Drosophila melanogaster: one gene and its partners. The protein of the gene in region 3 interacts with the protein of the main gene of each other region in a pairwise test. Each region holds a gene or a part of one and is shown on either strand. Other genes may lie near its edges.

Region 1 (5,360 bases), about 20 Mb from region 3:
TTTTTAATCTATAGATACGCCAGAATCCCCCTTAAAATAATGGCCGCTCTGGCCACCGTGTATGTGAGCATTCTTTCCTCGGAGCGGTACTTCTACTACTGGGTGCAGACCTCCATCGAAAGGACTGACATGCATGTATCCGAGATCGATTTCCCAGCCGTGACCATCATTCCGATCAATTTGAGCATCCTGAAAGCCGAGAAGCTCTCCAAGGCCTATAACTTGGTTCAGTCCGTGGTCTGGCAAACACCGATGTCCGCCCGCCTCACGGATGAGAACTTCACGGAGTTCTCCGAACTGGAAAACTGGAACGCGCAGAGCTGGGGAATCTACCAGGCGCTGCAGATGAACTGCCAGCACTTCTTCACCGAGTGCCAGTGGCGTCGCAAGGCGATGAACTGCTGTGACCTATTCCGACCCACCAAGACCTTCAATGGCTTCGCCTTCGAGTTCAACTCACTGGTCTCCTCGGGAAGAGATGAAACGTGGCCCTGGTCCGTGGCTTCATGCGGATCATATAGCGGACTCAATGTGAAGATCAAACGGCAGCAGGGTCTGTATACGTTGAATACAATGGGGGTGAGTCCGATAAGACATATGTACATAGATAGTGCGTCATGACATGGAGTAATTACCACACCAGGTGATAGTGCACGAACCGACCCAGTTGCTGGGCATGAGCATTGACTATTCCTCAGAGGATCGCATCGTGGTTCCGGTGGAACCACTTCATTTCACAGCCGAGTTGGATGTCCGGGCACGTCCCGTTCAAATGCGTCGTTGTTACTTTGAGGTCGGTTTCCTTAGCCAAATATATACTAGCTCTTAAACTTAATTTTACCTTAGAATGAGATACCAACGGGAAAGTCCCGGTCGGAGTGCATCTACAAGTGCCACGTCAACTACATCATCAGCAAGTGCAACTGCTCCTTGGAACTGCCGGTGAAGGCCACTCAAGATGAGGACAACATTGCGGCTGCAAAGGAAAGCAACGGACGTAGAATTTGCGGTGTGAAGGATCTGGCCTGCTTCAATCAGCACCGACGTGGGTCTAATTCTAAACTTAAATCATATATATATGATATATATGTACTGAATTCCGCTTAGTTTCCCTCTTTTCCATGAGCAACATCATCGAAGAGTCCCGTGATAATGTGTTCTCCACCGTGGATTGCGGTTGCTTTCCTCAGTGCGGTCACACCCAGTACCACACGTCAACCTACACGGAGAAGATGAGCGCCCACACCAACCTTGCCGCAGCGATCGAGATAGATGTGTACTTCCAGGAGGAGACCCTCTTCTCTTACCGCTCCATGCTCCGCTTCACGCTGATCGACTTAATGGGTGAGTTTGGGATCAATCACAGCTGCGATGACATGTACCCCCTACCCTTCACTTGTAGTTTCCTATGGAGGAATAGCCGGTTTGATCATGGGCATCTCGGTGCTAGGTTGCATCAACGAACTCTTGGATCGCTTCGCCTGTTGTCGCATACCCCATGGCTCCTAGGCCCAAGCTGGCACCATGAAGTACCAGCCATCGGCAGCTGGGTTCTCACGTTCCCACACTTACCTGTAACCGAAGCACACACAAATGCACCACTCACCTGGTTCTTGGGATGCGCACATAAACAAATCCAGAAAATAAAACGCATTCGGAGAGCTACCTGCATGGCAGTGGAAAATTTTCAGGTGCAGCTCCAACCAGACATAACAAAACTGTAGGCTTTCTTCAGAAAAAGAAATTGAATAAGAATATTGTTTTTAAGTCCCAGAAATCCATTTTCAATTTAGAAGTCTGTTTTTGTAACTTGAAACATTGAGTAAATAAATTCCTTATAGAGCACATACTTATATATGCCTTCAATAAAATGCCGAAAATAAATGTAATTGCAAGTATTTTTAATTTTCTGCACAGCGACTGTATTTTTTGCAGTGCACCCAAATATGCTGCGTTTGCTAAACGTGGGTATTAATCTGTTTTCAGCAACAACAAAAATAAGCGCGCCAATTTGCCAAAGATTAAAGGGGAGCTGTCTTATCAGCGACTGAGCCCATGGAGGTTATTAGAAGGCATCCATCCAGATTCCAGATTCTTTGTTGTCCACTTGTGCCCCCAAGCATAAAAGCCCATCACAAAAGAATCAGATGCCCAGCTTGGAGTTGAGCATAAAAATAAACTGGGGATCTACAAGCATAATCGCGCCTTGGAGACCCCTCAGGTACCAAGTCCATTCCCGAACTCAAATCGGATCCCTCGCTCTCGTATAAATAGGGGCTGCCTGGCCCTATTTCAAAACAGTCTTCGCTCGATCGCTGGAGGAATACATACATAGGTGGAAAGAAAGTGAAAATGAAGGTTTTCGTTGCCATCTGCGTGCTGATTGGACTGGTGAGTGCTCGATACAGATAAACGGCGACCAGGACCAGAATAATTCAACGCCTTCCCTTGGGTTATAGGCCTCCGCCGACTATGTGGTGAAGAACCGACACGACATGCTGGCCTACCGCGATGAGTGCGTCAAGGAGCTGGCCGTGCCCGTGGATCTGGTGGAGAAGTACCAGAAGTGGGAGTACCCCAACGACGCCAAGACCCAGTGCTACATCAAGTGCGTCTTCACCAAGTGGGGCCTGTTCGACGTCCAGAGCGGTTTCAACGTGGAGAACATCCACCAACAGCTGGTGGGCAACCACGCTGACCACAACGAGGCCTTCCACGCCTCCTTGGCCGCCTGCGTGGACAAGAACGAGCAGGGATCCAATGCCTGCGAGTGGGCCTACCGCGGAGCCACCTGTCTGCTGAAGGAGAACCTGGCCCAGATCCAGAAGAGCCTGGCCCCGAAGGCCTAGTGGCTTAGGTCCTAGTTGGACGGATGTAACGATAAGCATTAGTTTAGTTAATAAAGTAATTGATTTCCCATACAAGTTCGAGCATTCCTTCTCGATTCAGTGGGGAAAAACAGAATGTAGATATTTCTTCTTCAATGGGGGCCTCAATTTACTTATTAACAACTCCGAGTAGCAATTACATTGAGGATATGCTTTTAGGCAGCCAAACTAAACTAAAACTTTGGCCAACTACTTCCATTCGTCATGTTGCTGTACACCAAGGAACTTGTGATTCCGCGGCCGAGACCAGGACTACTGCGCTTCAGGAACAATCCGCGTGGTATTAAGTTTCGGGAAAAACTGTGCAACTCCTTTGCCCACTCCAACATCCATGGGATGCAGCACGTCTTCGGGGAGCAGCATCTCTGGCAGCGCTGCCTGTGGCTCGCCATCGTCCTGGGAGCGGTGATCACAGGATTCAGTCTGTACACCGTGCTGATGCATCGCCACAGCGAGCAGCTCCTGGTCAGCCTGATAGAGACCACCCAGTTGCCAGTGTACCACATCGACTTTCCAGCTGTGGCCGTTTGCCCCTGGAATCATTTCAACTGGCAGAGGGCTCCGTCGGCATTTATCCGCTTTCTGCCACGTCATCCGAATGCCGAGCTCCGGGAAACATTTCGCCAGCTACTCGCCAGTATGGACATTATGAACTTCTCCAACTTTAACCGGATACGGATTCTGACCAAACGAAATCTGACGGGAATTAGTTATCTAAAAATGACGGACCTGATGAACTTCATGACCTATAGATGCGATGAACTCTTCGTCGCCGATTCCTGCGTCTTCGATGAGACTCCCTACGACTGCTGCAAACTTTTCGTACGGGAGCAGACGGTGAAGGGCCAGTGCTTGGTCTTCAACTCCATGATTTCGGAGAACTCGCGCAAAAAGCACCTGATTAACCAGTTCTATCCCCACAAGCTGAGCACCGCTGGCGAGGATTCGGGCCTGAAGTTCACGATCAATGCAAGCTACTCCTTTATGAACAACATAGACGCTCTGACTCCATTTGGAATGAATGTAAGTCCCTTAGTTGCGTCACAGTTTGCTCATATTTTGTTTAATTTTATTTTTTGGTTACTAAGCTCATGATTAAGGAACCACGCCAGTGGTCCAATGAAATGATGTACCACCTGTACCCGGATACGGAGAACTTTGTTGCTGTGCATCCGCTGGTCACGGAAACCTCTCCAAATACCTATGAAATGAGTCCCAAAAAAAGACGTTGCTACTTTGATGTGTGTATAGCTTGCAACTAATAGGAAAAGATAATCATAATAATAATTCCTTACTCCATAGGATGAAAAGAACCCTACCTTCCAGAACACTTCGTTGACTTATAACCGCGAAAACTGCCTGGTGGTGTGCCTCCACTTAGTTGTGTGGAAGACCTGCCAGTGCTCGCTGCCAGCTTTTCTGCCTCCCATTGGTAATTATCGTAATTATTCTATTACATTTTAAATTTTTTTTTTTTTTAGATGGAGTTCCGGAATGTGGAATCAACGATGCACAATGCTTGGGCAACAATTCCGATATATTCACTTACGTGAAGATGGGTGATCAGGAGAAATACATTAACGACTCACGACAGGGTCACTTTTGTGATTGCCCAGACAATTGCAATTCACGGCTGTACGAAATGTCACTTAATGTGCGCAAATTGGATTAGTAAGTTCAATGTATATATTCTTAAAGAACAGATAATTAAATTCCCCTCTCTTTTAGCCCAAAAAACTCGACAGATCAATTGATAAAAGCCCAGGTTTATTATGGCCAACGTGTCATGACCAAAATCATTACGAAACTCAAGTACACCAATATAGATTTACTGGCCAACTTTGGCGGGATCATAAGTCTGTATATAGGGGCCTCCGTCATGAGTTTTATAGAGCTTTTATTTGTGCTGGGAAAACTGATGTGGGGTTTCATCAGAGATGCGCGCATAAAATTGAAAGAGTATACTAAGTAGCTTACTTTAAAAAATGATGTAAAACTTTGCCGTAAACAAGTATATATAACATTATTTCTGTTTAGTTTCCTGGTCCGTGGGATAGCGTATATAGATAGCCGGATGTGGCACTGTAGCCGGCGTCTCTGGCAGTTGGTCCAAGTAGGAGCAGCCGATGGCCAGGGCGCTGCCATCGGAGCTGAAGTTGAGCGTGGATATGGAGGTATCGTATTCGTGGAACTGACAAAGGCGCTTCTTGTTGAAGCCATCCCAAATGTTCACAATGCCATCGGATCCGCCAGTGGCGAACGTCTGATAGACATTGTGGAAACTCAAGGCATTAACGGGGTAGATCTGTTCGATATTCTGCTCCCTATTCCGGTGGCACTTGAAAGCGAACTTGCGGCGCTGCACCTCAGGATCGTGATCCAGGTACTCCACTGCCACCCGTCCCTCGATGGAGGACATCACGTAGCCTTCTTTGTTGGGGAATAGACGAATGCAGCGGGTCTGGTACTTGA
Region 2 (4,593 bases), on a different chromosome or scaffold from region 3:
AAAGACTAACTAATAATAGTTGTATTCTAGGGCGGGTCGATTTGTTTCGATTGTTCCGTAAAAAGAAGCTAGAAACTGTAAGCAAATTGGTCGTGGAAGTTGTAGGTTGGGCAATCAAACAATCAAAATATTCTCTAAACAATACTGCACTTTTCTTTGGACTTTGCGGTGCTTAACATTTGCTCAAGTTCCAAAAACTCACATTTTTAATTTGAATTAAATAATTGATTTTAGATCATACTTTTAACAATTTAAAATCGAACCACCCTTAGAGTAGCTTACAACTATAACGTAATATGGGAATTTTAGCCACGATTCGGAGAAGTAATCCAAACAATTTTGAACCGTTTAACATCCTACTACTATACAATATTCAATTATTGTACTCTGAATCCAAGGACAAACTATTGCTCCATGGGACACGCCGACGGCATGACGTTGTTATTGCTCGGACCCATGTAGAGCATACCGAACCGTTTCTGCTGCGGCGGGCAGACGACGGGAGCAGGAGCTGGAACCTCGCAGCGCTCCTTGAAGTAGTGGACGATGCGATGAAGGACGAACGCGAGGATCTTCTCTTTGGCGATCTCGCCATTGAGGAATGTAATGTCCTTGCAGTCGCGGTACTCGCTGAAGTTCTTTTCGTAGTGCGGCCACACACAGAGCTCGAAGTAGCCCGTGACATCGGGTGGATCGTATGTGCGCTTACTGCGCCGTTCGAAGCACTTCTCATATGGCAGATGGAAGTGGTACTTAATGTTGCACAGGGCCAGCAGCTCCGGCTGGTTGAAGATCATGAATCCCTCGACCAGGAGGAAATTGACCTTCTTGTCCCTCAGCTGGGCGGCAATCTGCGCATTGATGCTCATAATGTGCTGCTGCTGCTGCTGGATTTGATGGTGCTGGTGGTGGTGCTGCTGGTGATGGGGGTGATGTCTCGGGTGCTGCTGTGGCGGATATTGATAGACCCCGCCATTGGCCTGTTTGTAGTAGTTCGCATTGTACTGGTACTGCTGCTGGAACTGCTGGGCGTAGTGCTCGAAGTTGGCATACGTCACAAGGTGCTCCTGTGGCTCGGGAGCCACATGGCGCCCCTTGATTATGTGCGCTATGTCGTTCAGCATCTTGGCCATGTCCAGCGAGGTGATGAGCTCGAAGTTGATGGCGTTGAGCGCCTCATTTCGCTGATGTCGCTTGTCCTCCACGGGCAGAAAGTAGTCATCCTGCGAGATCAGACGCACCTCGCCAATGGTGTACGGCGAGTTCCACAGCGGCGCTCCTCTCAGACCCTTGAAGTAGTCGTGCAGGCTGTGGGCTAGCGTAGTTTTGCCACCACAGGTGACTCCCGAGATACCAATGACCAGCCACTGCGGCATCTTGTCCACGACTGACTATCGCTCTTCCTTGTTTTTCAGTGGAATCGTACGTTCGCGTTCGCACCGAGCAAGATAACCCCCCGGATAACCCCCTTAATCACGTTTCACTCTCAGGCTCCAGATGTGGTAAAAGGAGAACGCGGCGATGCCGCCGAGGAAGATCACCCCGAACACGGTGGGCACAATGAAAGCGTACTTCAGCGGTGGAAAGAACAGCCGAATGGGATTGCCTGTAAAAGTTTGTAAAGTATACTCATGTTCACAAGTGTTTCATTTGATAACAGGCCAGGAAAGAAAATACGTAAGTATATTGTTTTTATGATTACTCTTAATAGCAACAAATTAAAATTGTCACGGAACGGCAAAACTACGATCATGAAATATTTACGTATAAAGTGAAGAGCCAATATCCAGGCGGAAAAACTACCGAAAATAATTAGCTAAGTACACACCCAGATTTGGAACCACATAATACAGTGGTACCACTGGTTAAGCACGTTTTCGTTTTTATCGCTGATTGTACATGCCTAGACTCTACAATAGCTAACTAGTTTGACTGTGCACATATCGGGCGAATACTGTACTCCTATCATCACTAGTCGTCGGTGACCTTGACCCGAGCTTAGAGCATCGTACAGCCGCATTCCAGGTAACCCGTGTTAGGGTGGTCACCTCTGTAAAACACACGGGTTCATCCTCGTACACTGCCAACTATATATAATTGAACATCGTGACCAATTTACGCCGCGGCGTCACTTTAATTACTATACAAAAGCGCGAGATTATTCAATAAAACTTATGTATTAGCGGGTGAATAACGGAAGCCGTGGAAAACTCACCTTCATCGATGAGCATAAACGGGAGGACGGCCACCCAAAAGAAGTAATAGAAGAACACGGCGATTGCAGATATCAAAATGATTTTCCCGAGTTGCGCATTCGAAGCCATAAATAGCTATTCTCGGAAATTCTGGGGTTTCTCTGGCGAGAGAACACGCGACCGGCGATTTGTTTGTAAAACTGCTCATGGGGCGTTCTCCCCGGACGGACTGCTTCACTGTCCACTGATCGTTTACCCGCCGCACGAATCCCTAATGTTTTTTCGTAGCTGCCGATTTACTTTCGTGGCGTAATTGTAAACAAAACAAACAAGTGCGTCAAAAAATTTCCGAATTCAAGGTAGTGGTGGTTCAACCACTCGAACAAGTATCGATAGCTCGAGTAACTGTTTTGCGCAACACCAGCGGATGTTCTTATCGATGTAGGCGAGTCACTTCTGCTTGGGGATAATTTTCAGAATAAGATTTGTATATTATTAGCTTGCTGTAAAACCCCTTGTTTAGATAATGAACAGTTTATTAATATTTCAAATTAAACTATCATCATCGATATTTCAAGTGAAACATGCATCACTATGACAGTGTGACCAGCACTTACTTTCAATACTTTTCAGTGGATAAAACAATATCGATATGTCGATAGTAACTGATACTATCGAACGCTGATAACCCAGCACTAATAGAATTGTAAACAAACAATTTTTAAATTTAAGAATGGTAAAAAATGGGCAATCGAAACGGCAGCCATGGGTGAAGAACCTGTACTCCAACCGGGAATATCCGGACAACTACACGGATGCCAGCTTTCTGAAGGATCTGCGCACGAATCTACATTGTAGAATATACACGTTCGGCGAAGCAATTGCCGGTATTACAGTGCTTAATAATCAGATCTCCTGCATCACCGGCTTCCTAATACTCTACCAACTTATGCTCAGCGACAGCGTGTCGCCCACCACGATCCTGGTACCCAGTTGCGGGATCACAGGCATTGGATACCTGTGCTACCGAGGAAGGAGTCTCAGCTGGGCCCTGCTGGGCGAGGATTCCAAAACCCTGGTCACAGTGGTCCTCTTCGGCTACTTATTCTCACCGATGCTGCACACCCTAACGCAGGCCATCAGCACGGACACCATATACACAATGACCTTCTTTGTCCTTCTGGGCAACCTGATATTTGGACACTATGGATTGGATGTAGCCATGGTCTCTAAGGTAGGCAATATTTACGGCTATTGGTGTTGATTGTATATTGATCTTGACTCCACCTCAGAATCCTATATAATACAAATACTTCTTGTTCCATGTTAAGCGCAGGCCGTCTCGTTGAATGCCGCCATATTTGGAGCAATTTGCTTAGCCTCCCGCCTGCCGACTTCGTATCACGCCTTCGTGCTCCTTGTCGAGGCTGCCGTCTTTTTCGTCCTTTATCCCATAATGACGGAAGCGAATTGGCATGCTGGATTCATGTTGCCTATATTTGCAATATGCTGTATGGCGCTGTACTGTATATCGCGCCCGGTGCTCTATCTCTACGCCTCCACCACCATTTTCATCAACTTTGTCTGCCCGTTCATATTCGTGTGGCAGCAGCAGTACAAGTTCAACATTCACGGGCCCTGGGACGAGGCCATCGTGGAGGAGAACACCGAGGAGAACCTGGATGGGAACTTATAGCGCCAGCTGCGCTTCTCAGAACAGTTGCCGCCACGACTGGGTAGCGGCGACGTCGAGGAGCACTTCACTGATCGCTAAACCATTGCACGCTTATTTTTATAACTTTGTAAACTCATTCCAAGCCATTGATGTTAATCTTTTGTATCATGTTATATCTGTTAGTTTGTAAGTAGCGTTTTAATAAATTATACTTTTTGTGTTTAAAACCATAGCACTTTTAAATTTGTGTAATTTTTAGGGGACTTTCTTTTGGTCCTATGAATGGCTTTTTAAATAAATTGTTATCAACTTAAGGCAAAGGTTTTTCAATTGAAAGATAATGGAGTTAAATTAACAGGGTGAGTTTTTTGGCTTGGTTGTGTTTTACTCAGACTAAAAATAAATTTAGTTAAAGATTATTTATCGTCAGCGACTAAAACCCGTTTCGTAGATAACAATTAAACATTCGCATGAGCATACATTGAATATATTTGACCCTATCTAACGCAAATAAATTGAAGCAATTGCTTTAATAATAGACTATGGAATATGGATGAGTGACATCTGTATTAAGTGCACGCCCTTGGGTTTCCCAGAAGTTCCTAGTCTAACCAGAGATTTAATTATTTTAGTATTCTGCGTTTTACCTATCTATGTAATGCATGCTGTCCTGCAAGCTACTTCCACAGTTTCAGTAAGCATTCTTGAGAGATAAATAATCCA
Region 3 (6,100 bases):
CTCGCTCAATATAATCGTCCTTCTTTTCTCTGAATATGATGTGTAATTGGTCGGCATCGAAACTTTGACTTCATACTGCACTCATTTCGATATTAACCCCTATTTTAGATGTCCTTGTCCATAGGCTTGCGTGTCCACATCGACATCACTAATTTCACGCTGTCCATTGTAATCTATTTTAAAAACAAGCTGAAAAGTCACGGAGGCGTGCAGGTCCGACCTTTTAATGTACGCGAAAGTACATATACTGTGAAAGCTCTCCGGACGGACAGCTGCAATGGTTCTCTCGACTTCTCTCGCTCTGATGACCGTCTTATCCTTTTTGCCGGACAAAGAAACTGAAACCTACGCAGTCCGCCCATGGTATCTAGTTTCATTTCATCTGCGAGTACAGATACTTTCAGGCGGACGAGAGGTTCAAGTGGGGTTACGTCAAGGTGCATGAGACTAGAAATGAGACTTAGGACAGTCACTTACTGATTGCTGATATGATTACTTAATCATAAATAAATTGGTATAAACAAAAACTATTATCATGTCATTGTTTTTAAATACAAATGCCTTATAAAGTTAAATTGAGAATACAAGAAATGTAGTTATATTTTTTTTATAGGGGATTCCCGAACAAGCATTTGTAATTTTTTCCCCATAGATAGTAGTTGGAGATTATTTCGGATTTTGAAAAGATAAGGAGATCGTTTAAAAGTATATAACAAATATATATATATAAAAGTAAAAACTATCGATGTCCCGTCACGACGAATCGATAGTACCAGGACCATCGCTGTTTTCCGCCAGCACTAGTAACCTCTCATCCCTAAGTATTGTTTTTTTACTTTTATGAGCATCTAATTGTACCGACTTAAGTAAAATAATTAATTAAACAAAACCTAACTGAAACGTGGGAACAATGGTGAATGACTCTGGTCTATCGACAGTGGACGACTTGGAGCAAAAACTGAATTCGGCCAAGCAGTCGCTGGTGATCCTAAATGAAAACATTCGCCGCATTGCTGGTCGCGTCCCCAAGGAATCCCTGCAGAGGTATGAATCCAAGTTGTGCTTAATTTAATTAATTACTTAATGCCGCTGCATTTCAGATCGGAAAAATTCAAATACACCCAAGATGGCAAGAAGAACGAGCACAATGGGGACCGACCGTTCCCCCGAAATGCAACACCCGGTGGGGTCTTCAAAGACAAGCGGCGAATGTACGAAAGCAAGAATCCAATTTCCCGTTTCCCAATCGAAGAAAACGAGGGTCGTCCGCCACGGATTAACTCGCGGGTCATCCGGGAGATGCCAACTAAAAAGGAGATTGTCGAGGCACAGGGCACAGACTCTGAGTCGAGGGCCAGGAATCGCAGGATGTTCGGATCGCTGTTGGGAACCCTACAGAAGTTCTGTCAGGAGGAATCGCGACTGAAGAGCAAGGAGGATAAAAAGGCTGAGATCGATAGGAAGGTGGAAAAGCAGGAACTGCAGGAAAGAGCGATGCTGAGGAAACAGCGTGAAACACTATTCTTAGATAGGAAAAAAAAGCAATTCGAGATCCGTAGATTAGAGTACAAAATGGCCAGAATGAAGGACTTCAAGGTCTGGGAAGCAACTATGTTGAATGCGAAAAATAACATCCGAACAAAAACGAAACCACATCTGTTCTTTAGGCCAAAAGTGCATTCGCCTAGAACGGAAAAATTGTTGAGCAAAAGCAAAAGTGAAGCTGATGTGTTTATAGAATTCCGGCGCGAAGAATTGGAAGTTGAGCTTAAAAACTTGGAGAACATGAACTTTGGGAAGATGGAAGACGATACTGCAATAGACGAAAGTTTCTATGAAGAGCCTGACGACGAAGAGCAGTTGGATAAGTGTAAGTAAACTTCAGTTTGCACTAGGGCTTGAAATATGATCGTGCGGATATCGCTGTGTAGGGCAATTGGGTTTCAATTTATAAAACTTATTTATGAAACTTTAATTTATAATACAAAAACCAGATCTTAAGCAAATAAATTACAATGCGGTGATTACATTTAAAAGTTATATCGTATTTATCAACTCAAATACCTTTGTTTCAATGTTCTACTTCCTGTTTTTATTGCAGCTTTATTATACGTTAAGTAAAGTACCCAAAAGTAAATGATGCTATTCTAGGAATAAAGGATTACAACTAATGCAATTTAACAAATTATTTGCAAAAGCAATTGTTTTACTTCACCGAATGAAGGGGTGTTTAAGAACATCAATTTGTGGACAAAACCAGTTATTCTTTATTGCCATTATTTATGTCCTACTAGAAATAAAACTTGGAAAAAAAAAATTGTTTACTGCAAGCAAGCTATATTTGTATCTTTCAAAAGAATTTGTAAAATTGTAAATAAAACTAAAAAATATTTTACACGCAAGATATTGGATCGCGAAATAGGAACATTAAATACCTAATTATGTATTTATAGATATAATCATCCTGAAGCTAAATCACATATTTTATTCTCGCTTCCAAATTGTTTGAGGAAGTAACTAATTTAAAATGAGGCGTTAAAACAATTATAATTCTTTAAGCGATAAGTTAAGAACTCTTATAAGATAATTATACCTTCTTCGCCGTCTATTAACATTATTAATTAAGACCAGTAGTCAGAAGCAATTAATGAAAAAATAATATGTTAACCTCTGATTCTTGTACTGTATTCGTGTAAAAAAAGAACATTGTTTTTCTGAAAATAAAATGAGAGCATTGACATCCGCCATATACAGTAGAAAAATACAAATTTGATGAATACGATTGTTATACACGTACATTTTATTGAAATTTAGGTGATTTGAAGTGGAACCGAATTTTTGTATTTATCCGTAGAATGTATGAATCATTGTTCTTTACGTCGATGTATTCTGAAGACTTTGGCATTGGAAGCTTTGGATGTAATTTGCTAGGGATGGGTTCCCAACACGACCGCTCACTGGTCAGATCCTTCGGCGATGCTTCGCAGTATCCAATCGGAGAAGCTACTCACCAGGGTGTAGACCCCCGGAATGGTGGTCACGCCGCACAGCGTCGGTCCAAAGGCCACGATGCCGATGATCGTATAACGTCCACTTGTTCCAAAGACGCCGGAGGTACCGTCGTCCATAAAGGGGCCGCCACTATCGCCTCGGCACACGTCATTCATGGGCATTCCCTGGGCGCACAGGTGGTTGGGAGTAATCACAATAGGCTGCTGGAAGTTCTCACTGAGACTGGCATAGGCGATGGCGCAACTGGTGGTGTTCACGATGGGCAAACGGATGAAGCGCACCCCAGCGGTGGAGTTTGAGGGGTCCATCGAACTATTATCTGGATAAAATTTGTAGTAGAGAATGTTATATACATTTAAAACCTAATATGCACTGAATTATATTTCGATCGCATTGATAGTAAGTTAAAAAATGTAACAGATCAGATATAAAGTTGTTTCGAGACTAACTTTCAGTACTCCCAATACTCCAACCAGCAGCCACTCCAATTTGTCCTATCAGCCTGTTTCCCAGTGTGATTGGCCCGTTGAAGGGTAAGCATATGGGTGTGAAAGTGCCTGCAAGGTTGGTGGTGGTTATTCAGCGTAATCATTGACCTAGGATAGGAGTATAATCTCTTACCATTAGTGCTGTTGATTCGTAGGAGGGCAATGTCATTTGCATACTTGGGCTGGTCGTAGTTCGGATGAACTATAACCTGCTCGATGGCAAACGGAGTCGCCCCATCCTGACTTCCCAATCGAACATGGGACCTACGAAAGAGCGTGGATTACAAAAGATTTAATTAGGCTTTAGACTTACAGTTCCAAATCGCTGACTAGGTTGACCACACAGTGGGCGGCAGTTACGATGTGGTTGCTGGATATCAGGGATCCGGAGCAGCGAAAGCTAATGCGGCTGCTGCCTGAAAATATTATCGTAAAACTTCTGTAAGAATAAAGATTTTTTCTTGTTTTCAGCTCAACATGTGCGCTTGCCCTTGTTCAGGAAGAAGTCTACCACCTCAGAGCAACAACCCTGATTCTTGCCCAGCTCCTGGCTCACGGGGCGGTCCAGGTGCTGGTGGAGGTGCCCCTGGTGCCGGTGGAGGCGGCCCAGGTGGTCGTGGAGGGGGCCCGCCCCAAAAGCGTGGAACGTGTGGCCCCAAACCTTGCGGCGGACAGCAGTGCAATAAATGCGGTAAGGGAGGCCCTGGAGGAAGAGGTGGCCCTGGAGGAAAAGGTGGTGGCCCTGGAGGAAGAAATGGCCCTGGAGGTAGTGGTGGTCCCGGAGGCAGAAATGCTCCCAATGGCGGTGGTGGAGGCGGAGGAGGACCTTTTGGGCTGAGTGCCCCACCAAACAATCGCGGACCCAAGGCTCTGGGACTGGCTGCTCTGCTCTTTGCCGTCGGCGTCTACCTTACATTAAAAATGGTTATTGTGGCCAGTGAAATTGGATGAGCGCAGACAGGACGGCATTGGGCCCGGCTCAGATCTCCAATGCGGAGTAAGTTTAAGAGCATTTAAGAGGCGTTGCGTTGGGTAAAATAAATTCGAAATTGCGTATTTAGCCTAACATAAGATGTACTTACTTCGGTTGCGATAAGCGATCCTTGTCAGCCAGGGAAACTGTCCGGCACTAGCCTGATCTCCTCCCAGCAGTCGGCTCTCTACATTTATCCCACATCCTTGGGTGTTCTCCTGTGCGAAAGGTGGCATCGATGCGGTTGTTGTGGATAAAGAAGCAGGAATTGTTTCAATTGGTGTAGCTAATGTTGTGGTAAACGGCGCCAGGGGCGGACCTTGATCTATGTTGGAGTCAATTGCCTCCTCTCCCTGCCGCTGGAAGCGTAGGTCCCCGGGAAATACTATGGGCTTATCCTTTGGCACGGGTCGCAGTAATGTATCCCGTTCTTCGTGCTCCACATGATACAGAAAGTGGTGTCCCAAGGCGAACCGTCGGTCGAAGAACTCTGGTTCCACGGGCTGGGGACAATTGCGTTGTTCCTCGAAGTTCCAGTAGTCATGCAGATTGGTCTCCGCTTCCAGATAATCCCCGTGTGTGTGGGAGTGCCGGCTGCCCTTGTCACTATCCGCACCATCCCAAATCCAACGATCATTCGGCGGAGCAAAGCGCATCTTGCGACTTGCTTTGACGAAGGATGACTCATCGTGGTATTGTTTGCGAGAATTCGGACAACAGACGAGCGGCTCGAGGCCTTGGAAGCCACAACTGGCGCTGTGCACCTTGGCGAACACAGCGGACTGTTCTCCGGGTCCGTGGTGAAGTAGAAGGCGTGCAAAGGGGGCACACTTCCCAAGGCGGATGCAGTGGCAGGCGGAGGCTTTGCGATCCCCTGAAAGTATAACGGATGACCAGGCTGGATGACAAGGCATGAAATCACTTCTCGAAGGTCAATGTCGGCACAGCAATCACGAACCAGAAAATCAGCAAACCAGAAGTGCCCACGGCAATTACTCACTTTTTTGGTTCGGCATTCGCCGTCATTCGTGCGGTTTATTGCCCTTCGCTGGGAATTTCTAGACTAAGACCTTGACCCACTAAGAGGGCTGGTCTTTAATTACCCCCTACCGTCGCACGTTTGTGTCTTGAGTCATTGCTTTATTAGGGATCCCCGGGATACGAGTACTTACCACTCAAACACAGGATGCAGAATAAGAGTGAGACGATTTTTAGGCGCCGCATTTCGAACGATACAAGTCAAGAAATTGGGAAACCAGTAACACAACGTCGCCCGACCAAGTGCGAAATTGAAATAAATTGGTTCAATCTCCGAGCCAGCATGCATATCTTACTTCCACGCTTCCAGCTCTATTCAGATTTCGATTTTCGCGACGACGAATCAAAACAAAAAGAGAGCTCGAAAAAACCAATTATCAGGCCGTAAACTCGGTTTGGGCCACAGCCGTAAACCAGCAGCAACATCAGACGAAGAGAACCAACAATGACGGCTAGCAAAATAACCGATTGTCATCCAGAACAGATCAATACAAAACATGTTTTGCTGGCCGGCCACTCTAAACTTGAAACTGAGGAATAGTAACAGGACACCGTTTAGAATGTGGAACTCTCTTTCGTATGTATATTA

Evidence for each region. The genes of interacting proteins can lie anywhere in the genome.
Region 1: the proteins of CG31415 (region 3) and ppk19 interact in a two-hybrid assay, tested with the Drosophila melanogaster proteins (one large-scale study listed by BioGRID).
Region 2: the proteins of CG31415 (region 3) and PIG-C interact in a two-hybrid assay, tested with the Drosophila melanogaster proteins (one large-scale study listed by BioGRID).

What each region holds. Positions count from the first base shown.
Region 1 is NT_033777.3:29,669,364-29,674,723, forward strand, and holds ppk19 (pickpocket 19), read left to right. Parts: upstream 1-3,092; coding exon 3,093-3,911; intron 3,912-3,976; coding exon 3,977-4,129; intron 4,130-4,190; coding exon 4,191-4,320; intron 4,321-4,369; coding exon 4,370-4,559; intron 4,560-4,616; coding exon 4,617-4,860; downstream 4,861-5,360. Other genes in the region: ppk30 (pickpocket 30), read left to right, coding at 15-579, 644-793, 847-1,045, 1,108-1,344, 1,403-1,509; Obp99a (Odorant-binding protein 99a), read left to right, coding at 2,353-2,391, 2,460-2,849; Bub3, read right to left, coding at 4,912-5,360. UniProt on the Drosophila melanogaster protein: Part of a complex that plays a role in tracheal liquid clearance. In both larvae and adults, contributes to the behavioral response to salt. Probable role in sodium transport.
Region 2 is NT_037436.4:3,317,528-3,322,120, reverse strand, and holds PIG-C (phosphatidylinositol glycan anchor biosynthesis class C), read left to right. Parts: upstream 1-2,888; 5' UTR 2,889-2,928; coding exon 2,929-3,429; intron 3,430-3,531; coding exon 3,532-3,891; coding exon of another isoform or gene 3,892-3,969; 3' UTR 3,970-4,093; downstream 4,094-4,593. Other genes in the region: CG12016 (uncharacterized protein), read right to left, coding at 405-1,376; Dpm2 (Dolichyl-phosphate mannosyltransferase subunit 2), read right to left, coding at 1,470-1,606, 2,216-2,324.
Region 3 is NT_033777.3:9,740,099-9,746,198, forward strand, and holds CG31415 (uncharacterized protein), read left to right. Parts: upstream 1-3,418; 5' UTR 3,419-3,461; coding exon of another isoform or gene 3,462-3,569; intron 3,570-3,633; coding exon of another isoform or gene 3,634-3,764; intron 3,765-3,813; coding exon of another isoform or gene 3,814-3,916; intron 3,917-3,971; 5' UTR 3,972-3,977; coding exon 3,978-4,451; 3' UTR 4,452-4,564; downstream 4,565-6,100. Other genes in the region: Pnn (pinin), read left to right, coding at 911-1,044, 1,101-1,870, 2,102-2,121; CG34409 (uncharacterized protein), read right to left, coding at 2,955-3,331, 3,462-3,569, 3,634-3,764, 3,814-3,916, 4,583-5,347, 5,646-5,697.